Linked DNA regions of Lepisosteus oculatus. The protein of the gene in region 1 purifies or fractionates together with the protein of each later gene. This does not show direct contact. Links are inferred from orthologs where the notes say so. Each region holds a gene or a part of one and is shown on either strand. Other genes may lie near its edges.

Region 1 (7,930 bases):
TAATAAACATCTTTGAGAAGCAGCATTTCATTACAGGGAAGCAGCAGCGAGGCTGGAGGCTTTCAGCAGCCCCCTGGGGATGACAACACCAGCCACAGACAGCAGCACACTGACCCCACTCTCACATGAACACTATGCACACAAAAGATGAGGGGGTGGGGGAGGAAGCTGGCTTATAACATCACTCCGACACTCTGTAAAACACGACGAAATTAAACGCAGGATGGCTTACAGGCCACTCCCACGACCTGAACGAGCAACACGGGTTTCGATCGATTTATCCAGAATAAATTGCAGAAGGATATGACATTGGGGGGGGGTTTCATGTCACACATCTCAAATATTTTAATTGTCAGATGTCCAGCCCTTCTGTGAGAGAGAGAGAGAAGCCAGCCAGGAGCCAGGTGGAGAGTGTGAGGGAGGAGAAGGGGCTGGGAGACTCCAAAAGACAGACGCACCACATGAAACACGTGGGCACAACCAGGCACTTCTGTAGCTCAAACATGCAGACTGGAGGCGCTGAGGCAGCTGCACATTTGGTGCACAGAGAACACAAGTGCGACAGCAGAACCGCAGCAACCGGAGAGAGTCGGACCCGGCCCCAGCCGGCGGGGAGCCCCTTGGACCGGTTTTAGTCAGGCCCAGATGTAGCCAACCACCGGGTTTGCGTCTGTACCTCAGAACAACCTTTAGAGGACAGTCAGGATCACGACAGTAACACCAATACCAAGCCAGCTAAGAGCAAGCATGGGCATCAAGGGCCTCCACACTGGAGTAACAACAGAAGTAGCCCCCTCCACCGGACATCACACAACAGCAACCTACCCCAGCCCTGCCTCTTTACAACACCAGACAGAAAGAGGGCCCACTGGACTTCCGAAGTGGAGTGTAAATTAAAGATTTGATTAAAAAAAGATGTCCATTTAGCAATGTTAAAAAAATCATACAATTTCACCTGCGAAAAACACATTTAAAAGGAGAGAGTGGGGGAGCACAGCCAGTCTCAATGAGGCGCCCTGCCGGAGAGCTGCGGACAGGTGACAGGTCAGAGACACTCCGCATGTACACCGCAAAACGCCACTTGGCCGGGCTTGACCACGGCGACGACCGACCAACCCGGCCAGCCAGCCAGCGAGGGGTGTGGGGTGGGGCTGCATGCTGATTCACAGCAAGTGACCTTCTGGGGGGGGCGCCGGTAACAACCACCCTCCACGTCCCGAACCGCAACGCCGACAGCTGCATGCAAATATCCGGAGAGCCCCCCACGCCACTCGCGGAGTGGGCTGGCCGCCCCAGCTGAGAGCCGCGTGAACAATGAAAGCGAAACCTTCAGAGATCTGCCCCCTCCGTCATCAAGGGCGCACAGATAACTCCCCCTTTTAAACAACAATTAAATAAAACAACACCTTCGTCCACTCAGCAGGGCCGTGGCAGCCCGTGAATCTGCACGAGCGGGCCCCAGGCCGGGACACCGCTGACCGTGGCGTGGATTCCCGCACAAGGGCAAGTGACCTAGAGCCGGGGCAGGAGACGACGCCCGGCGGTCATCATCATCATCATCAATTCCTGTTATTGTGATTACTGTGCTGACGATTAGTGCGCGGAGATCCAGACCCAGCCAGCCAGCCCAGGCTCTGCGCCTCAGTTTCAAGTTACACACCGCTCCTTGTTCTGCAAATGACTTACGAAACCCAAAGAAAAAGGCCGGACTCGCGTCAGCAGGCGAGATGCTGGTCCTGCCTGCTCGCAGCGGAGTTTCAACGTGGTGATGACGCATTTCAGTGACAGCTGTTTCACGACCTACCCTCCCTCCCCCCCGACAGCAGACAGCCAATTTCGCGCACACAACTACAGCCATACATACACACGGCGTGTAAATATACATGCATGTGTGCAAGCCCGTTGTAAGGCTCTTGCAATGCAATGCTCTTCCGAAAGAACCGATTTCTTTGCAAGCCAAGACTATATATATACACACACACACAACTCAGAAGATGTCGGCCGTCTCTCTCCCTCCCCAGACTCAAGTCCATGTATATGCACAGCTCAGGCTTCAAGCCTCGCACGGGTTTTTTTAAATCCCTTTAACCCAGCAAGCACATCGCGTCGCGTTTTTCCAATTTAAAAAAAGCCTTTTAAACGGCTTTGTTCTCCCCTCCCAATGAACCCCGACAAACTCGCACTCGTCCCCCTCCTCCACGGACGCTATTTTTGTTTTTCGCCACGATGGGATAATTATTTTTCAGACTACTTCAAGGAGTTTCGTTGAGGTTTTTTTTTTCTTTGCAACCTCCACATGGAAACAGACTCTTCTTTAAACAGACATCAGGAAGTTGCGAACAAGCAAACTAGTAGTAACCCTAACGCCCACGAAACACGTACAACTTCATCTAAAATATATCTATACACACACACACGTATCGCTGGAACTATGAAGTCCCAACAAAGGGAGCTACACGTCGTGAGGCCGTTTTCGGATCAGACACACGTATGTCTATATATCATCTTTTTTGTCCCCTTCGGAATTAAAAAGCCTCGCCCGGACCCACCACGACACACGAGCAGAGGATCGAAGGAAACGGAAAACACCTTCGCCGGCAGTGCAAGCCACAGACCGGAATTATTTAAAAAAAAAAAAAACAACAAGCAATTAGAGCCGAAAGATGAGACCGGCGAGCGGCAGCGGATTATACCGACGCTCACTCCTAATGGCTGCCGCCTCGCCTCACTTTCCCCGGCGCACACACGGGCCACCCCGGAGCCAGGGAAGAGGCGGGAGGAAAAGCGGGGACTCGGACTTACAAAGGGCAGGCTGCTCATTGAAATCCCGTGACAACCCCCGGAGAAAAGTGGACGTTTTACTGCCGTGACCGTTGGCTGCTGCTGCCGCCGCTGTTGTTGTCGTCGTCTGCTCCGAGCGCCGCGAGCGACCCAGCCAGCCTGCCTGCTTCCCTCCCTCTCGCGCTCGCTCGTTCCCTCCCCCCGGCGGGGAGGGGCTGCGCTCCACGTCACCCGCCGCGCCGGTGACGTACTACACACGTTAAAGCGACGGGGCGGCGCCGGCGGCCTGGGTGGCCCCAGCGCGAGGCGGGACCTCGCGTCCAAAGAAGGAAAGAAAGAAAAAGAAAACAAACAAACAAACAAAAGCGACGTAGAACATCAAACATAAAAATCACAACCACGCGGGGGAAAAAAAAGGGGCGTGTCACCTTACTGCAGCACGCTCGGTGTTGGAAAAGAAAAATTTTATTGCTGCGCTTTTAAAACTCCCGCCCTTAAAACTCGCTTGGATACAGAGGCTTTTAATCAGGTTTATTGCAGTTTGCAGTTTATTGCAGGCAGCTGTCTCTGTTGGTCTCCCTGTTGCCTTGTTTTATCGTGAAGCGCCTTCAGCTGATGAGTCATGGGTGTGTCAGAATGAACGACAGAGACCGCTTACATTTCTTCTTCATCAGGTGACTGAGGACAATAGCACCGATGTGTCACTCTGTGCAAGTGCACCGCGCACCCTATTTTCACTTACCTGTGCAACTTACACTGCGCTAATAATGCAGTGTATATATGGTAAAACGTTTGCATCAAGATCAATAAACTAGTTATTATAATTAGGTTGTCCCTCATGTGAAATAAAGCTGATGGTTTGAAATAATGGAGTTTTACTCGGCTTCGAGTGAAAGTAAAAGAGTTTGGATTCATTTCAATGGAAACTTTGTGTATTCCCACAATAACATCAAAATAAGCCCCCTTATTGTTTTAAGTTCCCAACAAGAATGCACACAGTATTTATTTGGAACCCTTTCCAATCTTTTTAGATGAGAATGAGAAAGGAAAACAATTATTTTAATCTAATTTGTTGAAAGCCTCTTGGTAATGGTTTGGCCAGGCTCTGTTTGATTTCGTATGTTAGGTTTTGGTGATATCTGGTGATATTATTTGCAATGCTGAAATGCAAGCATGGATCTTAACAAGTAGATATTAAGACATTGTAGACATGTCAGCTACTCCAGACAACATGTCTCTGGTTTGTGGGGGGAAATGGGAGAAGCCAGAGAAAACTCACATGGGGGGGTGGGGGGTGGGAGCTAGATGTTCTCCTAGGAAGAACATGCAAACTCCACCCATCTCGACTTCAACCCAGGACTGGGGGGCTGTGAGGCGCCAGGGCTATTTGCCCACTACACAACATCTTTTCTAGGACACTCTTGTGTCCCAAGAGCTTATGATACTGCCACCCACTGGGGGAAAATAAGTTATAACAAGCGAAAAAAATGAAACCCACTGTTCTGGATCCAATAGAATAAACCTTTCACAGGACATCACTTGCAAGGCACATCTGTGTTGGAATCTTGTTCGTCCCCAAATCATTGCATCATTTCTCATGACAAATACACCCCGTGTACGGGAGCCGATCGTTGGGAAATACTGTGCATGACTCTGAAGTGATACACTTGTACAGTATGTATACACTTGTACCCAGAGCTCAAACAGTCCTGTGCAGCGTGATTTAACCGCAGTCGGTTTTCATGAGTATTGTAGTCTTCTACAATGTGCACTGAAATTCAAATAAGATGGATATACAGTAAAATCCCATTCTTTTTTCGCATGCCTCAGTCAGTCATTTTTTTAAAGATATGATTTAGTCCCTGCATGCAAATTCTGCATGATTCAAACATGTCCTGCAGAATGCCTCTAGAATCTTTTATATTCTGGGGGTAAAATCTCTATCATATCCCAAAAGGCTTCTTCGGGATTCCATTATTTTTCCTGAAAAAGTCCTGCAGGATGTTCCCTGTGGGATATTTTCAGAGATCTACAAATATTTTGGCACTCTCCTGTAGGATCATATGTTTATTTATCATTTCTAGGTTTGAAGGCAGTCTGGAAGGATATTTTATGTGAGGGGAACATTTGGTGATTCAATCATTTTTTCCAGGCAAAACCAGTGAGTTAAGTCTCTTAAATTGTACTATTGCAATTCTGACTAGTTACCCTATTATAATACTACACCACACTAATGAAAATAATAATATAAGTAATAAGGAGACAAAACACATATACAAGATACTCTTTATTGATGTGGTATCAATACAATCAAGTACTGTAGTTTTAGTTTCAAAAGAAAAAAATCTTTTAAAATCACAAGAAAAACAGGAGTGCATTTTATACCCACTTCCTATTACAGACAGTGCATGTAATAGACAATTTCAAAGAAAAAACAAATATCCTATAGTTTGCTACATAGTACATTAGACAGAAAACAGAACTTACATAAAAGCAATCCTTCAAAATCAGCACCAAGGTGCACTGATTACTCATTTGAAAAATGTAGAGGCAGTCACATATCCTTTTAGCAAATACAGACTTTTTGATTTAGATATCCAGTTGTAGAATTGTTGTCATTATACAAGAAGAAACATAGTTTTACAATGTCTTGTTTTGTGCAAATGGTAATGCAATGGGCCAATTTTCTAATCCAAAAGAAAAAAATACAATATCCCTTAGGAATCTAAATAAGGCACTTTTTCTTAGCTGTATTTTCTAAAGTAGTCTTTCATTATATGAGCACTAAATACCTGCTTAAATTTGCTTTGTAACATTTACATACTTCCAGAGGGGGAAGTGACAAAAACACACAATACCATGCATCCTTCTTCATGACACCTGCTAAGAAATGGGTATGAGTAAGTTGTACAGCATGTCATTCTTGGAGTACACAAAATAAAGGAAAAACAAAAATAAAAATAAAAACCAGCATAAATAACAAGAACATGCCTTGCATTGTCTAGGAATGTCACAATAATGATCATTTACAAGCCTTTTTCGTTAACTGCAAAGTATACAACAGTGCGAGGGAGTGCAATTCGGAAATACTGGAAGGGAAATACTGTCGGACAAGCATGTATTTCTTTTAAATCAAGCTAACAGGCTTTAGAAGTTAAAGTAAATACAAAAAGAGTTAGAGCCGTATTTTTGGAACACGTATAGAGCTGAGTCTTGTGACTCGGCCACCACGGATTAGTTTTGACAGTATTATACACTTGCTTGACTCCGATCCATTAGAATGCACGCCCCGTTAGTTTAGATTGGTCGCGTTCCTTAAAAAAAAGAGTTTTTGTGAAGTTTTCCCGATGTTTGGAGGGCTGTACTTTTTTTTTTAAATCATAAGGCTCGCTTCACTGTTCAAAATCCACTTTACCGCTCACGGATTGTCCTTATAAGAACGTGGGAATCTGTTTGTTTCTTCCCCCACCACCTACAATCTATTGACTATAAACGCTTGGAAACCAGAGTCTACAGATGAAAAGATGGGGTGTAACTGAATCATTTTGGGAAGCACTCCCGTCAGTCCCGAAGCAATGCAGAGGGCTGTTGTTCTTCTCTCCAAGCTTCCTCTCACATTCTTCACTTTCATGTAAAAAGATGGTCGCGACCATCACATTGTCCCCTGTCATAATCAGCAAAAGAATACATTTGCAAGGAAGAAGGAAAACTCAACAGACATTCGCTAAAAACGTTCTATAGTACGGGGAAGTGTATTTAATAGCCTAGTTTCCATCTTACATCTCAATGGCACTAGATATGAAGTCAGAGGGATGGCGGACGAGAGGGGCCTGCGGTTCAAACAGCCTATTTGGTTTTCAGTAGCTAACTGATCCGAGACCCTCGAGCAGCTCTTTCTTGAGAGGATCTTGGCTTCGAACGCATGACTAGACATCTCACAACCCAGATATTCCTCAATGCACTGTAAACTACGCTGTAGCAAAGGGTCCTTAAATTAAGTATAGGCAATCCATTTAAGCGTTATTCACCAGCAACCTAAAAGGCGTCGACGTAGAGATTTTTCACTTTTTTTAAGCGATTACCATCTCTTTAATGGACCACAAATAAACGAAAATAAAGCTCGAAACCTAATACTGGAGTTCCCGGCAACACTGGACATGACAACGAAAGGATAAAAGCGATGGCGTTCCCCCTTGAAAAGTGCAGAAAACCTGCCTGATCTAGCTTCACCTTCCTCTAAAAAAAACCAAACTACTTTACCTCAGCTGCCGAAGCGCGTGTGCTGACGTCACAGGGTTCCCGCGGGAGCAGAGCCGCGGAAATGACTTCACCCCCTCCGGAGACTCGCCCGCGCGGAGGCTCGGTCCTGCGGTGTGAAGTCATTGCCCGCTGCTCAGAGAGGGGAGCAAGCGCGCTCCGATCCCAGCGGGAGCCGGGGTTGCTTCACGCACGACACAGACTGCTGTCGGCCCTCTCATCGAGACTTCGCTTTTCTACCGGCCGCCATGACACGAGCCAAGCGCGAGGATTTCGGTAACGTGCCGCGAAGCTGCGGGGGGACAGCACCGGAGTGTGCATTGTGCCTGGACATCACGCCTGGGAACAATCTAACTGCAGTTCACTTTATCCCATCACCCCATGGCAATGCCCACCTGCAGCGGTTTTACATTCGGTCATCATTGCGTGCGTGTGCATGTTTCTGTGATCCAGTTCCAAGTGATCCAAGGATAATTAAGGCACACGCCGTCATCCCTCTCTCAGGCCACTCTCGGTCTCGATCGGGGTCATTTCGCTGTTGCACAATCTCGACCTCCGGCCTCTGCGTCCAGGACAGAACCTGCAATCTCTTCGAGCCCTGTTGTCCCCCCCTTCGCCACTGAAGACACTACCAAGAGTACACTGGAGCTACAGCCATTGGGTTCTCCTGACACCTTCCAGCCAAGACAAGACTTTAGACTTCAAGGGAAAGAGGAGGAAGCCAAACATTGACTCAGAAGCCCTATCTTATCATCGCCCCCACATGAAAACATCTACACAAGCCAAACACTCAGGGCCATGTGGGTATTAGTCTGGACATGGTTTTAACGACCTAGTAGAAAACGTAGCACATATCAGTTTGCAAATTGAGACAAAAAATGCTAACTGTATT
Region 2 (7,605 bases), on another chromosome or scaffold:
ACTCCTAACCTCAAAGGCTACAGCTCTGTCAGCTTTATAACCTTAAAACTGGGAGCAGTTTAAAACCTGGGTGAAGCACTAGAGATGAAAGAGTCTTGCTGAGTAAATAACGAGCTCGGTTCATCAGGGGATCAGGGGATCATCAGACCCTCAGTGAGTCTGCACACCCCAGCCTTCATGTCACTTCGGACAGGACAGATGGTGCAAAAAAAAGGAGTTTGGATACCACAGCAGGAAGAGGAGAGGCAGAACTGTAGCTGTTAAGCCCTGAAACAAAGCATGGGTTTCATTCCCCTTGAGAGCTTTTTCTTTTTGTTAGCCTTGAAGGAATATGGCAATTAACTCTCTCTCCAATTCTCACATGCACATTTCTGTCTTGAAATTCTTTGCTAAACAGTAAATGTTTGTTTAAAAGAAGCCCCACAGGGAGCTGGGAACATAGGCGGTTGTGAAAACACAAAGCATCAAAACGACACATGGAGAAATGTTCACCAACATCCCAGCCCCTCAGCAGCCTGAATGGAAAAACACTCCAGCAGACGCCTAGTCAGAGGCGCCCTGGTGTGTCCTTACTGGTGCTGCCTCTTTAAGGGCCTGATGGCGGCCTCCCGACAAAGCATTGGAATTGCTGTACCACACTGCTGCATAATCTGCAAACCTGTCTCCTCTCCAAAGGTTTCAGTGCACAGGGTGAGCGAGGGGACACCGGCACGTCCGCGGGAGACACACAGCACAGAGGCAGCCTGTAACTTCAGCCGTGCAACCACACACGCCTTCGCAGAGCAACAGCCACAGCAGTCTCCCCAACACCACTGATGTAAGAAGGGCAGAGAGCCAGGCATACAGATATTTGCAGAGGCTGGCAGACAAGATCAGATACATGGACAGACACAAAGAGGGACGTATCCTGTAAGGACAACTTGGATGGTCTAACTTAGCTGCACAACTCTTCACTCACACAATAACACTCGAGCCTGAAATGATTTCTCAATCCGTCAGCCCCGAGTGTTTGTCCTGTCAGAAATACAAGTGGTAAGCGGGCGGAGGAGGGATTAGAAATGAGAACGCACAGATCATTTTGCTTCGTGAAACAACCCAACACAGGATGCCTGCAGAGCCGGTCGGACACACAGACCTAAAAACACAAATGTTTAAACTCGAAAGCATGAAACTATATTCATCACTTCTGAGGACGTTTTAGATTTGTGAGGTCATGAACGCACAAAGAGCAACAGTAAATCCTGAGTATGGAGCCCTGCACATCATTATATACCAGAAGAGAGGTGTCAATGACTCCTGGGAGGAGAAAACCAAGGCTAACAAACCTTATACCCTCTTTTTCCCCACAGTGCTAATTTAAAAAAGACAGAGGCGCTGTTCATACCTTTTAATGAACGCCATCTTTACAACAACATGAAAAAGAGGTGGGCAAACCAGACTGACAAATGAGACCAGTCTGGAACTGCAAAACACACTGCGGCTTCCAGCCTTAGGCTTTTCAGCAGCAGAAGCTCTCCAGTGCTCTTCTTTGACACCGCGCCAGTCCCATGCGCTCGACAAGCTTCTGTTGCTATGACGACGGGCCCTACCTTTCTTGAACTCCTCCAGCATGGCGTCCAGCTTGGTGTCGTGGAAGACGAAGTGGACCGGGTGGTTGTAGAACTTGGTGATGGTCTTCAGCGTGGTGCAGTCGTCTGGGTCCACGAAGGCCAGGTCCTTGACGTACAGGATGTCCACGATGTTGGAGCGCTCGTCCTCGAACACCGGGATGCGGGTGTAGCCGCTCTCCATGATCTCGGACATGGTGTTGAAGTCCAGCACGGCGTCGCTGTGGATCATGAAGCAGTTGCTCAGGGGGGTCATGACGTCCTCCACGGTTTTGGTCCGCAGCTCCAGCGCCCCCTGGATCATGTTGAGCTCCTCTTTCACCAGGTCGTTGTAGGGCTCCGTCACCTTGAGCATCCCCACCAGCTTCTCCCGGTTGTAGACGGTGCCGATCTCCTGGCCCAGCACGCAGTCCAGCAGCTTGCTGATGGGGTAGGACATGGGCAAGGTGAGCAGCATGAAGAACTTGGTCAGCACGATGGTGTTGGCCCCCACGGCCAGGCCGTGGCGAGAGCACAGCGCCTGGGGCATGATCTCCCCGAAGATGACGATGCCGATGGTGGAGGCCACCACCGCAGCCAGGCCAGATCCAATCAGGTCGTCCAGCAGGATGGTCAAGGTCGTGTTGACGAGCACGTTGCCCAGCAGGAGCGAGCACAGAAGGTAGTTGCCCTTCCTGCGGATGGGCTCGATCTTGCGGGCGTACTTCTTCTCCTTTTCCGTACCGCAGCTCTGCACGATGCGGAGCTCCATGGGATCTAAAGCCATCAGCCCCAGGTTCAGTCCGCTGAACATGCCGGACAGTAACAGCAGCAGGGCGATCAATATGATCTGCAGCCAGAGCGGGAGCAGCGACGACTTCTCCTCCACCACCTTCAGCTTGCCATCGTTCTCCCCGAACAGGTCCCACTCGCCTTCCGGGCTGCGTTTCACGCACAAGCTGTACTCCTTGGACTCTTCGCTCTTGCGGAGCGTCTTGATGGCTAATTTGAGCACCCCGGAGGTGCCCTGGCTGCTGACGTTCATGAAATTATTGATCGCGATGTCTTTGGTGAAATCGGCGCAAGTCCTGTTAAAAGAGTGGCTAAAGGCATTGTTTTCGCCCTCTCCCACTCCGTCTCCGTGTTCCGTAAACCTGATCTGTGACCAGGTGCCCGAGTTTAGCTGCAGCCCGTAAAACCTGAGCTGGACCTCACTGCCCTCTGTTACCTGGATGATTCCCTCGTTGGTGGTCGTGGCCGACTTGTTGCTCCACACCAGCCGCATGCCCAAGATCTGGCTGTTACTGACCTCTGCGGTTGCTGCCTCCATTCGTCCAGCTGTTGAGCTCCATAGAAAAACGATCAAAGTTAGAATATACCCCTGCCCACTCCAGTCTGTCGCCATGTTTGTTTCACTCTCCGCAAGCTGGGAGCTGACGTCACCTACTCATTTCTTAAAACCCGCCTCTTCATTATCCTAACCCCGCCTTCTATACCGCCCACATATGACGTTAGGGCCGCCTTCTAAATCATCACTTTCTTTTTAAGGAAGAGCAGTGCACTTGTTAAGATGGAAGGAAATATTTTTATTTAATTGGAGTCGTTATTGTTCATAGTATATCCTGAAAGCAATTCCTTTAACTATCCTTTAAGACTGTTTTAACTGACATAGATGCACATACCGATGGCATAACTGACGTATATGTGATATTTAGCAATTCAACTTTTCAAGTGTTCCAGTAAGAGTAAGAGTCTTTTAATTAATAATAAGAAATTTAGGAAATTATACTATTTTTTTCACTGTAATTATAAAATACAAATATATCGTTTACTACTTCAGACGGAATAAGTATGCACTCCATATATAGTTTATATATTAGCTACAGAACATCGAATCTTAATGAGGTTCACCATTTTGACAGTGATGTTAAAATAATATCCTCATAAAAATAAAAAAGGCGTTTTAACTTTTTTTTTCAGTGATTATATCCGATTGAACCGCAGTGCTACTGAACTTGCTGGTAAACATTACATCATCATGTCCGGGTGGCCCCTGATTGGGTGATAATGACATCACGCAGCCTCAGCCTCCACACTTTTAAAGAATGAAATCCAGCAAAGCTAAATGAAGGGTGCTGTGGGGGTGGGGGTACCGGAAGAATGACTTGTAATCCAAACATTTTTACTACAAATGAGGATGAAATCATGCGTTTATTTACTTTATTACAATAATTATAATGAATACCGTCAATCTCTCAAGAGCTAAAAAATAAAAACTCTTTAATTCATTCTTAAAACAAACGTTGTGATGAAATGGACTGTAAACTGAACAAAAATGCTTTTTTATTGAACAGCTCAGAATAATTCTCAGTACACAGAATTATTCCCGACACAATTATTTTAGCACTTATCATGACTTTTCCAAGTAGATTAGGAGAACCTCTTAATCCCACCTGCTGTACATGCGAATGTGGAAGTTTTGATTGGAATTGACTAAGCCCGCAAAAAAATCCTCTTAACATAATATAGTTAAAATACTGAGGACTATCATAAATCGTTAACATAGTGTTTTCCTGCCGATGCCACCTCGATATCAAAGGGGATTTGTAGATTGATATATGTGCATAAATGACCGATAAAGGCCAATAAAATAGAATACTAGAGTAACAAACAACTTATACAAACACTATCAGAGCAAAGCAAAGATTACTCGTAAACTATAATTATAGCAAACAATAGAAGAGCACAAGTACAGGGTTGTAGGATTTTTTGGGATTATGAATAAGCGTTAAATTGTAGTGGGAAGGTTTTGGAGAAGCGTGTTATTGGCTGTATTGTGAGTGAAAGAGCGCACGGGGAGGACCGAGAAAGAAACAACAGCCAATATAAGGTAAAGGGCAAAATGATGAGAACAGATCACGTTCCCTGTCGGCGACGCCAGAGGCGGGAAACAAAACTAAAAAGCCTAACTGCGGCCTTACAGTATATGCCATGTGACAGAGCTCAAAACTGCTCAGCGCTCCACAGCCTCTCAGTTAGCGGTTTCCAGGAAATGAGTCTTCTGTCTGAATAGGGCTTTGTGGCTAGGCTGTGATCGGGCGTTATAAACACTATGTCATATTTAGCGCACATGATTTCATTCTCCTATGTTTCAGGTCTGCGTTCAGACATTCGTGAGCCACATGAGTCAGCCTCAAGATGCATTAGATTTCGAAATGAATTCCCGGGCTTGCTTGAGTTCAGTCGCTGTTACAATTTTGGCTTCGTAAACCGTTTTAAAAACACACTTTCGACGGCCTTTCATATGCAAAGTTTGGAAAATCATCAGACTGCGGATTCTTTGACCCTTTGCTCTCAAAAAACAAATATCAAACATCAAACTATTAATTATAAGATGAAAATGTAGAAGCTTAAATAATTTCATTGCAATTGTTCCATCAAATCCCTTGCTAAATATGAACGTCAGGCTTCCAAGCGAAATATTAGTCTTCAGAAAAAGAAATTGCTGCTCTTTGAGAGGAAGCAAGGCGTCACACCCAGGTCCTGCCCCGCGACAAACCAGTCCCTGCTCGGGTGAGCGTACCGGGCTTCTTGGAAAACTGCTTTTAAGGTTTTAAGGTTTCCACCTCAAAAGTCCAGGATGAGATCAGTAAGGAAGAAACATCCAAAAGCACATCCGCTGTGCTTGCGGTTCTGGAAAATAATTCCGTTCGACTATATGCACTTTAAGTATCATAGGAAACCTCGTTATTTAATAATACGTTTCGGGTAGATAATAAAAACATAAACATAGCAAAACTTTTAAGCATATGTAGCTACAGTTCATTAAAAAATCGTTCCTATTCTCGGTTTTGATTTCTTGTGCTATCCGACATACTTCTACGAAATGTGATTTTGTCTTTTTGAAACTTGAAAGAAACAAGTAACGCTCAAGTAGAAGGTATATGGCCTGTGGCTAAGAAAAACTTTTTTAAGTGTTCAGATTGGTTTTTTAACGTTACACTATTAGACAAACATTTTCAACATCTTACTATTCACCCTCCTAACGGAATCAGTTACCAAGGCAACTGCTTCCGGGAGTGGGCGGGATGTTTGGAGTCTCTTTAATTGATAATAACTTTTACCAATAGAATCCCAAAAGTCTCACAAGTGGGCGGGTATTAGCCCCTGAACCAATCATATTTCGCTTCCAACGAACTGTCATTATTCATCGGGGGCGGGGCACAGGTAGAGTTAGACTCGTGAATGGCAGTTCAGTGCAGCGAATAGTTGATGACAACACATCCTACCAGCCACTGAGAGGCGAGGTAGGTGGGGAAAGGCGTGTCATGGAGGGAGGGGGAGGAGCAAAATGGCCGCTGCCATGAACGGGAAGGTTCTAGCTGGGGCTCGCAAGGGAATTTTTTATTTCATTTCTTTTCACAATATGATCAAAAAGATCCCGTTCGCAGTTGTCTTCATCCTGCTCACGGCAAGCCCGTGCTGGGGTGACGAAGGACACGAGGTGGAAGAGTTCCTGAAAAGGGAGCATTCGCTGATCAAGCCGTACCAAGGTAAGATCCATTACGGTACAGATGAACGGGGAGGGTGAGAGCGGATCGATCATAGCGGGAGAGAGAAAAGACTCTCCCTGCAAATCAAATGACAGCGCTGAAATCTCCAGCTGCCTTCGCTTTCTGACACTGGCTTGGCGGATCGGATCGACTCGACGTGAAGTGCACTAAAATATCCGCCAACACAGTCACGTTATCTTCAGTAGCTAGTGTTTTCGACAGGCTTGTCAAACCATGGCAACGCTAAATATCCGTAAGCGTTACAATATGAAGTCAACCCGAGCACTGACAACACGCGTTTAAAACAGCGTGGCTTTATTGATGCATGCACCTGACTCCTAGCCTCCTAGCCCTGCACGTCGTGACTCGCCTGGCTTGGATTGCGTAATGCAAGAAGTAGAGGCGACCTGACCAGACCAGTGCTGTTGTGTTGCGAAATCTGACGCGAGGTAGTCATCCAGTCACAGCCATTTCAGGAATTATGTTCTGGGGGAACACAGGTGAACGATGTAGGCGAGAGAGCGAGTAAGGAGGAGGCCTTGCCATAATCTCACATGAAAGTTGCCGCCGGTACACAGGTCAGCCCGACCTGACAAGGCGGTTCAGCAAGTTGAATTGAGCAACCGCGATGCAGGCTGCTTTGGTTTCTGGAGTGTGTAACCCTAACCCTGATCACACGAGTACGTGATTTTGGTTCCTTTGCCTTGGCGGAGAAACCGAATGGAAGTGTTTTTTTCCTGGTCTGATTCTGTGTTTTGCAGTATGCATAACCGTGTTTTTAAACCAGCCTGCAAGTTCTGTTCACAATTAAAACTGTAAAAAAGGTAGAAGTGTAAACCACTTTAATTCATCCCTAAATAATATTATGGAGCAATTTTTATGTTGGTTAACCGATACAGTATGAGATCTTACGCAGGTATATAGCTAAATGAATTGGCTTCATTACTCTGGCGCACTTTGGCTGCTGTTGCATCATGGTAGTGGTCGGGGGAGTCCCCATTACCTGTAAAGCGCTAAATAAGTGTAAGGAAAACAGTCACACCATAGCAAAACGTTCAAAGTAATATAGCTCCCCCTAGTGGTTGGAATACGAACCGGTGTTTTCGCTTCAAAGTGCTTTCAATTTGCCTTCAATGTGTCACCTGAAAAAGGTTCCACAGCCAGAAACATTGTGTATCTTTTCTTTACCTTTCAGCACGCAATGAACCCTTACCCGTTCCTTACATTTACAATGGGAAGGAAATTACGAATCCCCTCATGTTGATCGCAGTGCCCCATAATCCCAAGAATAACAATAAGTTCCCCGTTCAAATAAATCTTGTTTGTCAGTATCAAACTGTCTTGTCAGATGTAATGTACCGTCAAGTACTAGAAAAAGAAAGGAATCAGTTGTCCGGCCACACTGACCTCTCAAATCCACAGACCTTAAACATTTTAATGGCTGCTCAGTCAGTCAATCTCATTTG
Region 3 (7,989 bases), on another chromosome or scaffold:
CAAAGGTTTTTCTAAAAACCTACCTGCCCTGCATGAGATTCTGAGCCCGGTCTACAGCCAAATCCTCCATCGAAATTCATGCAGAAAAGGACAAACTCCACTGCCTTGTCTACGTTAATGGTGTCCAGCTTGCCCTGAAAGACCAGTCATTCGCACTGAACGCTAAGCCAGAGGCACAGAGTAAAAAATGGCAGAATTAGAGCTAACAAACACCATCGTCTCATAAACAGACACTATGAAGTTTGTAAAGATGCTCTTACCAGCAAAGCCAGGGTTGCCACTGCACAGAAGGAAAACCTCGTATCTATCTCACCTAGAACAAAACAAGGACACAAATGTAACTAGAGACTCGATGTTCTTAACAGGAACCATCGAAATCACACAGGCTCTCATTGCAATGTTACGAGAGACAGCTCTGATCGGGGCTGTCCTGATCCCGAAGGGCTGGTGCACCTGCGGGTTTAAAAAGCCGGGCCCGAAGACCTCGGAGAAGCTGCTAAAGTCCTGGTTAAGCCAGTAACCAGCTGTGTCGGCTCTTCAGGATCTGAGCTGGACTAGAAACCTACAGGCACACTAGCCCTCCAGGACCAGGACTGGACACCGCTGTCTGAGATGAATGACAAATGTCACAAGCTGAGTAAAACGAGAGGGTAACAAACACTAGACATATATAATGCATTAATAATGAAGATTTAAATTGGATAATTACAGGAAGGGATAACTTAGCATATATAGGCTTTTTCATCTGACTTTTATACAAATAAACATTTCTCACAAGTCTGCTAGTGCTAGAGAAGAGGACTTTTTTGCTGTCAGCAGAGGGAAACAGGTAGTTCAGCATACAAATAATTCCACTGCTTTAATGTGCTGAAGTATAAAACATTTTAAGAAACACTTGGACTATCGACTAGCAGCACACATTCAAATAAATGACACCTAAAACAATCCACTCACCCCATTTGTCCCCAGCAAAAGATCCATCCTCCTGTTGTAACCCTTTCACGTATTCAACCACTTTATCCACATCGATCACAGAGAGACTATCATACAGAGAGAGAATCTGAAAAACACCAGAAAAACGGTGAACACAGAAATCCAAGATACGCAAATGCGACAATTAGCTATTTTGAAATAAAAGGGGAATATCTCTTTCTTTGAGTGTAAGACTTAAAAACTCACAAGATAAATTTAAAATATTAGGTTAAATTAACCTCTCATAGAAAACAGGTGAAGAGATTAAACGTGTTTGACTGGAAGACTGACACTATTTCAACAGCCTGTCTACACCAGGTTTATGCCAGGAACTGTTTTTTCTAGACACAAAGCAGCAATGAGAATCACACCATTTGGTCTTTTAATTTTTCATATTAAAGAGAGAAAGAGATGGGCACTATCATGCTTCAAGGTAGAAAACAGATTTCATCTAAGCTTTTTTAAAAAGAAATTGTTAGGCACACAGCAAGTTGGTCACCAAATGCACTTATCAAAATGAATCTCGAATCGGTTGGTTAAACCTAGAGGGGAAAAAAAACAACAACCTCTTTAAGAGTTGTACCTGAACAGCACTGAGAGTATAGAGCAGGTGAGGGTCATGTCCTATACTGGCACTGATTCCTCCACTCTCATGCTGGCACTGCTTGACAAATTCTATAATCTCGTCCTCGTTCATCCGATGCAGCTGCCCCATCAGATCCATTACCGTCAGACCCCAGTAGATGCCGCTCATGCGCAGGTATTCCGACAGGGTGTACTCCTGGTGGAGACGGGAGAGATCCGAAACAACAACACAAAAATCAACACTGAAAAAGCGACCAGGAGGTCTTTAATAAATGCCACCTCCTAGGTATCCACTTTTGCGGATGACCAGTGAGAGTAAAAAGCGTTATCATCTGTTCTCATTTCTGGAAGGACAAACATACGGATTTACGGAAAAAGAAGTCAGTTTCACTCACTAAATCACAAGCTTAGCCGCCGTTTGGGTTGGACTCACCAAGACTGAGAAAACACTGGAAGGGTTTCAGAGAGGTATGGCTGTTTTAGAGGGTTTCTAAACTTTTTGCCCTTCTTTAAAAGACGATACACTCTTTCAAAAACAAAAACGCAATTTCAGCTTCTGATGATTTGCTGTAATAAACCACTGCCTCTTAAATCATGAAGAGCTAGATTCATTCCTGCTGTTAAAGCAGCACCTGAAAATGCTACTCGCTTAAATGCTTCTGTGTTTTAAAGTACAGATCTAATTACTGGATCATGAAGGAAAGAGTAAAAGAAAGTGTGCCCTTTGTCACTTGTGCAGATACATACATAGTCGTCCTTCTTGGTACCATAAGCTGCGATATAGTCTGCATGTTTGTCCAACAGAAGCACACTTGGAGCATCAGGCTTTATAACGACATCTTTAACTTGAGTGCCCTGGAATAACGCAGAGGATTAGTAAAGGGAACCCACAGACATTTTCAAACAAAGAGCGATTTTTAAAACAATATACAGTAATGTGCATTTTTTAGGAACATGTCATTATTTTTATTGTATTGTAATTATTACATGTAAAGCAAGTATTAATTTACTACAGAAATCAGATAAGCTTACTTTACAAGGAACTATGTGTGTGGACTTTACAGTTTCTCTTTTATAAGAAGAAAACCTTCTGGACTTAAATACTACACAATTCTCCTTATTTAGTGAAAAAAAAATCATTTTTAATTTCTTAATTTTTATTTCCTTCAAATGAACTATATTTGAGGGACACTGAAGGATAAAATGAGTCAATAAACATATTACAATTATTTAGGATTTAAAATTGCAATGGCTTACCTTAATGATACATAAATAACTACTGAGGTGATGGGGGGTTATTGCATTTTTATACAAGAAAAATGTACATTTCTGTGAATGACTATAGATACACACTGACTGACCTGATTAGGAACACAACAAGTTTGTGCACAGTCATTTCCTAGAGAAACAAAAATATTGGCACAACACAGATGATACATCGTTTTGTTCTTGTGAGCAATCAGCTCCTAATCTTTAAATTAAATAGTTACAATGAAATGACACATCTCTTCATATTTTTATAACTTTTTTTTTAGACAACCTACAAGTACTGGAAACAAACACACCCTTACATGCGGTTTTTGACATGTTTGATCATGTGTTTGGAACACCCCATGACAAGTGCCACTTAAATCCTTAACCGTCTTTTACAGGATGGGGATATTACGTGGGATGGAACTGAATGCACTGATTTAACGCGTTACTCGATTAATTCCACTGAGAAATCAGACTGAAGCGGTTTAAGGTCACAAGGTATTGTTCATCAACACTAAAACTGTCCAAAAACAAACAGTTACATGTGGAATTAGACAGACGGACAAAGTGACATGCCCCCCCAAGACACTGCACTGAGCATCAAAATAAGTATTATTTACAACTGCGATAAATTCGCAATGGTATCGGAAAAAAACCCACAGAAAAAGACAGCCTTTTCTGCAGCACGTACACGTTTATATGAACACATATGAAAATGTCCACTGGCTAAGCCGAATACTGACTGGTGTTGCTCTAACTTTTCAACATGTTTTTTTTGTTCAGATTGTTAGACGGACCAACTGTCAGAAAACGGTTTTTGTTGTAGCACAATTCCCGATGCTCACCGCTTAAATTATCCATTACGTATCCCTAAACCACTCCTCTAAAAACATACTTAACGTACGAGTTTTTAATCTCCTAAAACGATGTCTTACGACCAATAATGCGGAACATCGAAATACACCAAACGTCCTGTATGACAAAGGGAAAAGATTCAACGTCTAGTTACGCATCACTCCAGATGCCATTAAATTCCGACAGGGATATGTTTGCGGACAAGCACATTAGCTTCTGTTAAATGACAGATGTTATTCTATTTTTTAATGCAGTCAAAGCGTTACCAGGTTAAGAAACGGCTCACATTCGCGATTAGCTGTCAGGCATTTAAACCTTTATAAAATTGCAGGATTTAAATTCATTTCTATTCACGGTCTAACAGCTTTTTGCTCTGGGACATGTCACTTCTATTTGCAGTGTGCTTAAAACGTGTACAGAACGGTAGGTAGACATTATTATTTCATATGACAAATGCCTCTGTTTCATCCTTGAAATATACACATATACATATAAGAAAACAAAATATGTAGACCGATGAACAGCACCTACCATTCTTGGGTGATGTCCCTGAATCGCGTCCCACAATAACTACGTCATAAAACAAAGCCTGCCCAAATCTTCGCCGGAGGAGGGTGGTAATTATATAAGTTTTCTGTTTAAAGAAATCCTCGCTCTATAAAAAGATTAATGAATACAGAAATTACGACTACTACTGAGTTTCACAGTTCACATGTGTGACAGCACAGTCTGAAGCAATTTAATCGTCAAATACAGTATTTGGAAACTGCTTATTTGCATCCGCCATCTTGGCTCTGTAAAACGCCTTTAGATACCAACTTATCTGTCGCCACATATCTACACATTAAACTCAAATCGAAACTTCCCACGTGTGTGTCTACTGTTAAGCGCGATCACAGTACAAACTGCTTTTCCCAGTTGGCATTTTTCTCAGAAAAATTCTGAAAGGGCAGTTGTAGTTCAATTAGAAGTTCCTCATGTGCTCGTTGTGCCTTTTGGCTTGGGGTTTGCAGAGAGACAAAGTACTAAAACAGCCTTTGTTAAGGTAATTAATGATTTTCTGATAACATTCAGATCTACCAGGAGACCAAATCAAATACCACTGTGCTTTCTGCACTTCACAGGTGTCTCTATGATGTTCAGATATGGGTGCAACAGAACTATTCTGGGCTTGACTGTGTCAAGACTGAGTTTAGGCTCATATGATCCCAACATCTCTGCAACAACTAAAAGTATTCTGCATCAGCACCTAAATCCTGTACCACATAAATTGCATTGTCTATATGTGGAATTTAGTGTGAACAAAAAGGTTCTCATGCTCATATATAGGGCACTGAAATATCTTTTAAGTGTTGGTTAAATGAGCAAACTATTACTCTTTAGAATATACCTTACAAACAAGGGAAGGCCGGACTAGCCAATGTGGAGACGTAATCTCAATAGATCTGATGATTCGGGGTGTCTACAGTATGTCTGCTGAAGACCAAGCTGTAAGCAAAGGGCAACAGAGTCATCGTGGAGGACGTGCTGCCCAAATGCATTACTCTTCAGCTGCTGACTTTTCTAGACCTCTCTTGCAGACCTGTCTGTTCACTACAGCTTTCAGCATGAAATTTAAAACTGAATCAGTTTGTTGTTCTTTTCCTCTTTACCTTTTCTTCTGGTATCTGTATTATATGTGCATTTGTACAGCTTGTTCTTGAATAAATAAAACATCATTATCACTCATTGAGCTCTCAGTTACACAGCTGTCGATCGACTATATAACTGTTAATAATTCTAACCGGGCTTGATGGTGTTTTATAGGTAACTGTGCTTCTACTGAGCTGCATTTCAGCACTCAGCCATGAAAGACTTTGAGCTGAGTTTAACACCACTGGCTTACAGCAGGAAATTTTTTCCAGGCTTCTCTCAGCCCAGTACTGACCAGATCCATCCTTGCTCAGGATCTGAGACGTGACAAAATCAGTCTCCTTTGTGGCAAAATTCAACCTAAGAAGTCTATTTTCTACAGAGCAAACAAATGCCATGAACTCAAACTTGCTCACTTAGCAAACAAAACATGCTACACTAGATTTGTACAATTTAGCGTTAATTTACACAACTAACAGTGGTGGAATTGAAACTATTTCCTTCGTGTTAGTAGGAACATTCCTCTGAGCATCAGCAATATCCTGTAGAATTGGTACAGTATCTACCCAAAGGCAAACAAACACACCCAGGACAATCCAGATGTGTGCTTCCCCATTAAAGATACATAAAAACATTGTAAAAAAAACCCAACCAGAAAACTTTAATATATAACATCCTTTTTATTTCAGCTTTGCAAAAATTAGTTCCCAAATGCAGCTCTTATCTTTGATAACAGTATATAAAGGCTTTTAAAGGCTTCAGGTTACCATTTTCTAAGGCTCACGTATTGTGTCATAGGCACCAATTTATTTAAAATATGGAAGGCAAAGAACGTACTTGCATTGATAGTCGTTGATACTCTACATACAGGACATAAAATTATAACAAAGGGAAGACTGTTACAGGAAAAAAGTGCAATCACTGTTTGTATTTTCCAATGTGTTCACGAGCAATGATCATCCTCTGGACCTGAGCTGTACCTTCATAGATCTGAAAAAGAAAATAATGTTGATTAAAATCTCTCACAATCAGTGAGCCAACATTTTTTATTAAAAAAAACAATCTGAAAAACGAATGTATATACATCAATGACACCACACATTTTAATCCCATGAACATTAGAAAGGTGGGTAAAAAGGAGAGGAGGCATTTGACCCATCTAGATTGTTTGGCTGTTAGTAGCCACAGATCTCATCCAGCAGTTTCTGGAAAGAAGTCAGGGTATTAGACATCAGCAACATGGCTGGGTATCGTGTTCAATCATCTCACAGCCCTTTGGGTAAAGGAGTGTCTCCTGTTATCAGTTTTAAATGCATTTCCACAGAACGCCTCTGGTTCACGATTCGCTGTTCACTCCGTAAATGTCCACTGGCTTGACTCTGCCAGGGTCTCTGAGGATTTTGAATACTTGTATCAGGTCCACATGTGACATTTTCTAGTAGAACTGAACTAAGAAGGTTCAGTTCCTCAGTCTGTCAGTGCAGGACATTCCCTGAGGTCCTGAATGCATCTGGTTGATCTTTGCTGGACTGAATCCAGAGCAGCAATATCTTTTCTATAACATGGTGACTGAAATTGGAAACATTATGGTAAATGAGGCCTACAGGGGGGTTATACTTTCATCATAACATCCGTAAAACCTTTGCTTTTAATTCACTTTGTTCCCTTTTTCAAAAGCTTCCCCACGTTGTCTAGAAGATGTAAATGTGTCAACATAAACATCTTACTCAGTGTTTCCCAGTTTGTATTTAGTGTTGCTACCTGCAGGTAAACCCTGCACTTATCTTAAAAGGTCATCTGCCAGGAATTTGTTAGACCAGACTTGAATTTTATTTAATTTTATACGCTGTACTTTACCGTTTGCTAAACTTCCCTTTTGATACCATCTGAAAGAATAAGTGCTTTGCTAACTGTACCAGAACCTAGATCACTGATATACTGTAAAATAAGAGCAGTGGTGCATGTTTCCATGCATGCCTACTGCCAGCAATTGGAAACTTTAATGCGGGATATTACAAATAAATTGCTTTATGTTAAAAAAAAAGTTTTTGCTTTCGCTGTTCAACACCACTGAAATAATAATAAAAGCAAAAAAAAACAAACAATAATAAATATTTTATTGGGTGCATTCCAGAGATGTACCTGGTAGATCTTGGCATCTCTCATCAGCTTCTCCACAGGATATTCACTGTTGAACCCGTTGCCTCCGAAGATCTGAACCGCGTCGCTGGCGACTTGGTTCGCGATGTCTCCGGCGAACGCCTTGGCGATGGAGGCGTAGTAGGTATTTCTGCGGCCTTCGTCCACCTCCCAGGCGGACCTCTGGTAGGCCATCCTGGCCAGCTCCACCTTCATGGCCATCTCCGCCAGCAGGAAGGAGATGGCCTGGTGCTGACGGGACACACAAGGACAAAACGACTCGTTCCCCTCCTAAACGGACACGCCCAGCCGCTCCCCCTCCACTCCCCCACGGGCGCACTTACTTCGGCGATGAGCCTGCCGAAGGTCTTCCTCTCCAAAGCGTATTTCGTCGCTTCGTCCAGAGCCCGCTGTGCCAGGCCTGTAGCTCCCGCTGCCACCTGCCAGATAATTAAATAATCATCATCATCATAATAATAATAATATTAATAATAATAATAATGAAATACGTTTCCGACACTCACCGGAGGCCTGGTCTTATCAAAAGCTCCC
Region 4 (7,118 bases), on another chromosome or scaffold:
ATTGTAAACATCTAGAATTTAGAATGTTGTTTTTGACAAGGACTAAGATCATGTATTGTGCTGCATTTTCAATCTTTTGCCACCGAAATGTAAATTGTTACACTTCAGTCTGAAATATGATTCTCTAAGCAACCAAGTTTGTGAAAAAGATGTCGGCTTGGCTAAGTGTCACCAGTTGAAGATAATTGTAACACAGCATGCACACCTTAATTGCATGACCTTAGGTTCATGTTCAGTAAAGAAAAAAAAGTTGTTGTTTTTTTAAATCAGATTTGCCCCAGCAAAGCAAGTTCCAGAAAATAGATTGTTTTATGTTTTTTACTTCTGTGGTTTTTAATTTTTACTTCAGTTTCATTCTGGTAATGGTAAATGTTTTCTGTCTGTGTAGTCAAGGACTTGAATTGTCATAAGGGGAAAGTGCTCATTTGAAAAAAGTTTGCATGTGTAGCCTTGTATACTGGGGACTAAATTATAAAAACCCACAGAGAGCAGGGTGGGTATACATAATACACATTACCTTGCGTATAAGTTAGGAAAGTTTGCTGTTTTGGTGCCAACTAAAAATATCTTTCTTCAGAGATGTTGTTTCCTGCTTATGTTTAATTTTATATTTAGTGATCACTTGTATCCATTTAATATACAATGTATATTTCACTAAGGGTGCCTCTTAATGTGATCCTTTCCTTCGAATGAACAAACAGAATAATTTTCTATAATTATAAGATTGCATTAATCCTCTGTGCAAAAGGCTGAACTGAACAAGGCAATAAACAATACTCTGCTATATGTGTGTTTTGGTTATTTTTGGCTTAAAACATCCTTTTTATGCATTTCACATTTTATTGGTTCATGATTTTTCCAACACTTTCACTTTCATTGTTTTTCTGTAATGTGGTGAGCAAGTTTGCTTTTGTCACTGATAGATAAGATCACTTTATTGGCCATATACAATTTCTTGTATTATTAATTTGTCTTTTTTTTGGCATACCCCATCTTCCTCTCCATGAAACACACAGTCGGGGACAGAAGCTTGGGGTCAGAGCACAGGGTCAGCCATTTATATGGCACTCCTGGAGCACTTGGGGTTAAGTGCCTTGCTCAGGGGCCCAACAGAGTAGGATTCCTCTGCCGGCTGCAGGATTTGAACCGGCAACCTTTCAGCCACAGGCGCAGATCCTCAGCCACAGAGCCACCACGCCAATGCTTCCATCCGCTCTGCGTGTTCAGTGATGTTCAGTCTGTACTTCAGAAACCCCAGCCCTTCTATGACAACCGAGAGAAACTGAACCCCCCTTAAAGACTTAATTTTTACGTTAATTATAATACAGTATTCAATAATTAATGCCTTTTCTAAATATAGGCCAGAGTGTCTATGCAGTACTACCATTTGTCACAAGAGGGCGAAAATGGCACACGACAATTTGCCATTAAAACCTGTTTGTCAAACCATTGAGAAAAGATCCGTTTCTGGACTTTCTTTTTTCAACAGAGCAGTGGAATGTTCTAGACTGCAGAGCGGATGGAAGCATGTTGTCTGTTATACAAAAGGTAGTGGGAGCTTGGGCCCTGGCTCAATACCTAGGGTGCTGTCTGCGTGGAGTTTGTGTGTTGTCTCCTGGTTTGTGTAGTTTCCTCTAGGTGCTCCAGTTTCGTCTCCCAGTTCAAAAACTGTTGCTGGACAGAATAGGCTTCAGCTCCAGCTGTCCCCAAACACTATAATGGCTACATCAGTTAGAAAATGGATGGATGGACATCCAGGTTTACAAAGATATTAGAGATTTTTGTACTAACCAGTTTTCTTCATACACTCTTTTAACTTCAAGCAACTTTTTCCCTCAGTGTACTGGATTACCTCCTCCTAAGTTATGGCCGCAGGACATCCCTTCAAAGGTATATATTTTATCCTGTTTAAAAATAAACTCACTTCTTGATGCAGTTTTCCTCTGTTTCTCTTTTTCCTTTACTAGTGATTTGATGAGTTCTTCGTTTTTTGCGGGAGGAATCTCAAAAAGAATTTTTTGGTAAAAATATTGATTCTAATATATATATTTTAATTTAAATTACTTTAAATGTAGACGTATAAGCTATTTTTAATTGCTTGATTATTCTTTTGGCCTCTGCAGAAATAGAATCACGCACATTGAGAACATGTGCGAAGAGGACTCTAAAATAAAGCTGCAGGACATGTTAAAACTTACAAATACCTGCGCTATTTAAAAAAAAACGTTTATAGACAAACTACAAAACGGTTTGAGGGTGATTGATTCCATAAAACCCTTTGAAATGGCACAACTCGGGGCTGCTTCGGGTCAGAGTGGTGAGGAATTTGTTGCTACACGTGCTGCTCATGCCATCGCCACGCCCCGTGTTATCTTTGACACGCCCCCTCAGCGCCGCAGTTCGGAGGCCACGCCCCTGGGTCTCCGCCAGCGTCCCCTTCACACGTTTGGGGAAGTTTCGCTTCTCAGAGGAAGATTTAAGATATCTAATCTGATCTATTTCAGTGTTCGCTGATATGTTTATAAAAAGGAATTTGTTGTGCTATTTATACTGGATTTTAATGTTCTGTTGCTTACATATAAGGCACTGAACGGTCTCGCTCAAGGTTACTTTAGGACTTTTATTGCTTGAGTATAGTCCAACACTTGATCTGAGATGTGCTGATTCAGGTCTTCCTTTTTTTACTTGCGGCCAGGCTCACACGATGAAAGCCAGAGCACCACGATTTTAAAACTCACTGCCAAAAATCGGAGACTATGTATCCGTTGCTTTTTTTTACTAAACTTTTCATGTATGATTTTACTTTTGGTATTATTTGGTCAATTTACTGAGTGATTGTTTACTGACGTGGTGTTTTATGCGTGTACACTCGTGCAGCGCTTTTTTTATAACACTTCTAACTATAGCATTAACTCGTTTTTTCATGTTTTATTTTAGAATTTGCTTTGAAAGATAGCCTAAACCTCAGACAGTTCAATGTGTTATTAAAATACAGATGCCTGGATTATCCCAGGCGGTTGATGTTTTGTTTTTATGAGTGTTGCTCACGGACGTTTGAATTAGTGCATTGTTATTAAATTGTTTGATGATTAACTAATCAATAAAATACAAAGATAAAGGCACCTGTGTTTAATATCTACAAAGATTACAAAGTAATATTCCGCACCTTCTTTAAAGCTGTAGCTGAACCCAAGATACTAGGATCCTTAACGTCTAAAGCGTAGGTTTGAACATTTTGTTTAGACAACCACTACTACTTATCAAGATGTTGATTTCTTTTCTTTTTTTACTTAGAAACGTTTTATGTAATCGGCGTTTGGTATGCTACGTGACGTCCGGTAGTCGGTGTGTTACCGGTAGTAATATTACCATTCACCTACATTACTCTCAGAATTACAGCAGTTTAGGTATTTTGGATGTCAAGGTGACCGAAAGATGTACAATATGTGTTATGTTTACCGACTGCCGAAAGGAAAAACGAAGGGATTACGTCAGTTTACTATTCCCTTATGAAACTGGAAGAAAGAACAGGTACAGATTTATGCGAACATTAAACACATGAATAAAACAAAACACAACCAACTGCTCTTAACGTAGACGGTGAGATGCTTAACAGCAAAAACACACACGTCGTTACTGATGGCCTTTTTTCTTCCTAGCTTTCAAGGGGATTTCATTGAAGTTATGTATTAGGTCATCACACATCTTTGCAGAAAGAACTAGCATGAAGCTTCATTATTGTGAAAAGTCACAGTAAAACTACTCTCAATTTAAAACGGCTCTAAAGCCCTTATTTATCATAATTGCACCTGTTATCCACCTGCAGTCTCACGCCTGTCTCATTGACGGATGTTTCAGGAAGTGGGCAGGAACAACACCTTCATTGGTTGCCGAGATCCCCTCCCCTTCATCAGACCTACCCCCTCCTACACCTTATTTGCTGCCTTCAACCCTCCGTCAAAATAAGTCACGAGGACGGCCCTGGGCAGTAACTCCGCCCCCATATGTTTGTTTTCTTTTCTTATTGGCTTTTGCCTCGGAAAACACCCCGCCTCCTTATAAAATCGGTAGTTGATTGGGTGCGGGGGCCGCCCGTCTTTGGGCATCACGAGGAACACGAGTTCATACTGTGCTTGCTCCGCTGTGTTGTTGGTCAGAGGAGCTGGAGACGCGTGGTGGGAGCAGACAGGTCTGATGCATGAGTCAAGGAAACCCGCAGAGGAGATGAAGGCGGACTCCGATTGGCTGTGATTTTTAAAAGCCCTCTTCTTTTAAAAGCGGTTGCCCACAATCAAGATGGCAGAGCGCTCGGCCACAGTGCCCACTTTAAAGATGGCGGCGCTCAGCCGGGTCCGAGTTCTGGCTCTGGTATTCTTTACAGTCAGCGGCTGTTTGGTGAGCTTGTCCAGCGGCGAGGAAGGGGCAGAAGAGACGGTTATCATTGGGCTCAGACTAGAAGACACAGACGACGTTTCCTTTATGGACGGGGGGTCCCTGCGGGTCAGCGAAAGGACCCGGGTCAAGCTGAGAGTCTATGGGCAAAACATTAACAACGAGACGTGGTCCAAAATCGCCTTTACAGAGCATGAGCGGAGCAAAGTCGTTGGCAACATTGACAGCACCACTAGGGATAATAAGAGCAAAGAGGATACCTCAAGCTATCATCCCTGTGGCATTAGGACTTCGGATATTATAATTTTGCCCAATATTGTCTTAAATAGAAAGACTTCTGGCATAGTGGAAATTGAAATTAAGCCTCTGCGGAAAACGGAGAAGAGCAAAGCCTACTACTTGTGCATTGCCATGCCAACACCTGCTGTGTCTGGCGTGCACGACCCATGGACTGAGACCACCTGGATCTACCATGACGGAGAGGACACGAAAGTGATAGTGGTGGAGGAGAGGAAGTTCTTGCTGCCCTTTTGGCTGCAGGTCATTTTCATCTCGCTGCTGCTCTGTCTCTCGGGCATGTTCAGTGGGCTGAACCTGGGACTGATGGCGCTGGACCCCATGGAACTACGCATCGTCCAGAACTGCGGCACGGAGAAGGAGAAGAACTACGCCAAGAAAATCGAGCCGGTCCGGAGTCAAGGGAACTACCTGCTCTGCTCGCTGCTCCTGGGGAACGTGCTTGTGAACACCACCCTGACCATTCTGTTGGATGACATCGCAGGCTCGGGGTTGATAGCTGTGGTGGTGTCCACCATCGGGATCGTGATCTTTGGCGAAATTGTGCCCCAGGCGATCTGCTCCCGGCACGGTCTGGCTGTAGGTGCGAACACCATCTTTCTGACCAAATTTTTCATGCTGCTCACTTTTCCTGCGTCGTACCCCGTGAGCAAACTCTTGGACTGCGTCTTGGGGCAGGAGATTGGCACGGTGTACAACAGGGAGAAGCTCCTGGAGATGCTGAGGGTCACAGATCCCTACAATGACCTGGTCAAAGAGGAGCTCAACATCATCCAGGGCGCCCTGGAGCTCAGGACTAAGACCGTGGAAGATGTCATGACTCCCCTGCGCGACTGCTTCATGATCACCGCCGACGCCATCCTCGACTTCAACACCATGTCTGAGATCATGGAGAGTGGGTACACTCGGATCCCCGTCTACGAAGGGGAGAGATCTAACATTGTGGACCTTCTGTTCGTTAAGGACTTGGCCTTTGTCGACCCGGACGACAGCACACCATTGAAAACCATCACCAAGTTCTATAGCCATCCCTTGCATTTTGTTTTCAATGACACCAAACTGGATGCCATGCTGGAGGAATTCAAGAAAGGTGGGGCAGTATTTTTTTTCACTCACTTTGTTTACCTCCTTCAGATATTTATTGCATTTTAATGTTTCACCTTGGCAAGGGTTGAGTTGTAACACTTCTAGTGATGAGTGCTCTGATAAAGTGCGCCGAGTCTTTGTCATAACTGAGCGTGAGATTGGCATAGGACATGTCAATGTACAGTTATTTCCCTGATTACCATGGGGAATAAATGCGGTCTGATGATGCGGCTGTCTATAAGGTGTTTTCACAAGTATTTCCGAAAGTAGTTCGGTTTCTGGAAAAAGGTTGGTTCCCGATTTGGAACATCAGACACTTATCGCGATCTACTGTATATCAACCAGGATTCTGTATGAGGTTTTGCTGTTTTTGCACTTCTTGCTTCCCCGGTGTTCAGATGGCAAAGCGCTGCGCATTTTCATGCGGTAAACAAACAACAGTGCATCTTGCATCCTGCCACTCGCAGTCCTGTCGGGAGGGTGAATAAATTATGCCCATTCCCGTCGGGGGTTTGTTTGTTTGTTTGTTTTTGTCTTCATCCGCTCTTGTGGCTTGTGGAAAGTACGTGTGGCGGGTTGCAGGTCGCCAGGTGCTGCAGCGGTGCAGTGCCCCACACGCTGGCTGAGAGGACCGGGCGCAGGCACTGTGGGGGCTGAGCTGCCAGAGGGTACCAGTGCTGCCTGCTCAGCGATTCACGGGCTCATCAGATTGCTGTTTGAGTCCGAGGTGTACCCATCGCATCTACTGTGTTCAAAGGCGAATTGATCCAAACACTTATTACCTGTACGCTACCGCCACGACCCGATATGCACAAATCGCAATCACGCGGACGATGGGATCGTCGTGGATCCAAATCGCATAAAACATATGTATATATTCATCAGTTTCCCTACGGGATCAATAAAGTCTTATCTATCTAAATGTCGCCCAGTTAGATTGAAATTTCGCAGGCCTTATCTAATTTTTCTACGGCGTTTTGCAACTTGATGGCCGCCTGAACGGTTTATTTTATTGCGCAGGTGGCACTGGGGAAAAAAAACCCGTTAATAAAAATCAACTGCACTGATTCTAACCGCTACTGATTTCAAAATAGCATTTTTGAGATCAAACGTAGTTGTTATATTTTCTTTCATTCTCCCGATGAAGCTCCAAACGCCTATTGTATTCTAAAACACGATACACACGTTACACGTGGGCGTTTCAATGAAATATTGTCTAGTATGAGCTATCCATCCAACTTGTTTTTACCTGTAAAACAAATGAAATAATATTATTCCGATGTCAGTGATTTGCAGAAAGGGCAAATGTTTTGTTTGGTTAATGCTTGTTAGTCTTCTACCGT

What was found.
Region 2: the proteins of ptp4a2b (region 1) and metal transporter CNNM4 purify together in Homo sapiens (affinity purification with mass spectrometry; 6 studies listed by BioGRID and IntAct, counting the BioPlex papers as one, with this or other methods). This does not show direct contact. The link is inferred for Lepisosteus oculatus from reciprocal best matches to the Homo sapiens genes PTP4A2 and CNNM4.
Region 3: the proteins of ptp4a2b (region 1) and rabggtb purify together in Homo sapiens (affinity purification with mass spectrometry; 3 studies listed by BioGRID and IntAct, counting the BioPlex papers as one, with this or other methods). This does not show direct contact. The link is inferred for Lepisosteus oculatus from reciprocal best matches to the Homo sapiens genes PTP4A2 and RABGGTB.
Region 4: the proteins of ptp4a2b (region 1) and cnnm2b purify together in Homo sapiens (affinity purification with mass spectrometry; 4 studies listed by BioGRID and IntAct, counting the BioPlex papers as one, with this or other methods). This does not show direct contact. The link is inferred for Lepisosteus oculatus from reciprocal best matches to the Homo sapiens genes PTP4A2 and CNNM2.

What each region holds. Positions count from the first base shown.
Region 1 is NC_090706.1:1,404,794-1,412,723, forward strand, and holds the start of ptp4a2b (protein tyrosine phosphatase type IVA 2), read right to left. Parts: upstream 3,003-7,930; 5' UTR 2,803-3,002; intron 1-2,802.
Region 2 is NC_090697.1:69,731,496-69,739,100, reverse strand, and holds the start of metal transporter CNNM4, read right to left. Parts: upstream 3,010-7,605; 5' UTR 2,992-3,009; coding exon 1,590-2,991; intron 1-1,589. Other genes in the region: lman2la (lectin, mannose-binding 2-like a), read left to right, coding at 5,938-6,139. UniProt on the Homo sapiens protein: Probable metal transporter. The interaction with the metal ion chaperone COX11 suggests that it may play a role in sensory neuron functions. May play a role in biomineralization and retinal function.
Region 3 is NC_090704.1:4,133,997-4,141,985, forward strand, and holds the start of rabggtb (geranylgeranyl transferase type-2 subunit beta), read right to left. Parts: upstream 3,012-7,989; 5' UTR 2,997-3,011; coding exon 2,919-2,996; intron 2,413-2,918; coding exon 2,305-2,412; intron 1,754-2,304; coding exon 1,556-1,753; intron 1,061-1,555; coding exon 955-1,060; intron 314-954; coding exon 261-313; intron 135-260; coding exon 24-134; intron 1-23. Other genes in the region: acadm (medium-chain specific acyl-CoA dehydrogenase, mitochondrial), read right to left, coding at 6,217-6,288, 7,441-7,689, 7,782-7,877, 7,962-7,989. UniProt on the Homo sapiens protein: Catalyzes the transfer of a geranylgeranyl moiety from geranylgeranyl diphosphate to both cysteines of Rab proteins with the C-terminal sequence -XXCC, -XCXC and -CCXX, such as RAB1A, RAB3A, RAB5A and RAB7A.
Region 4 is NC_090699.1:36,010,223-36,017,340, forward strand, and holds the start of cnnm2b (metal transporter CNNM2), read left to right. Parts: upstream 1-4,103; 5' UTR 4,104-4,296; coding exon 4,297-5,779; intron 5,780-7,118.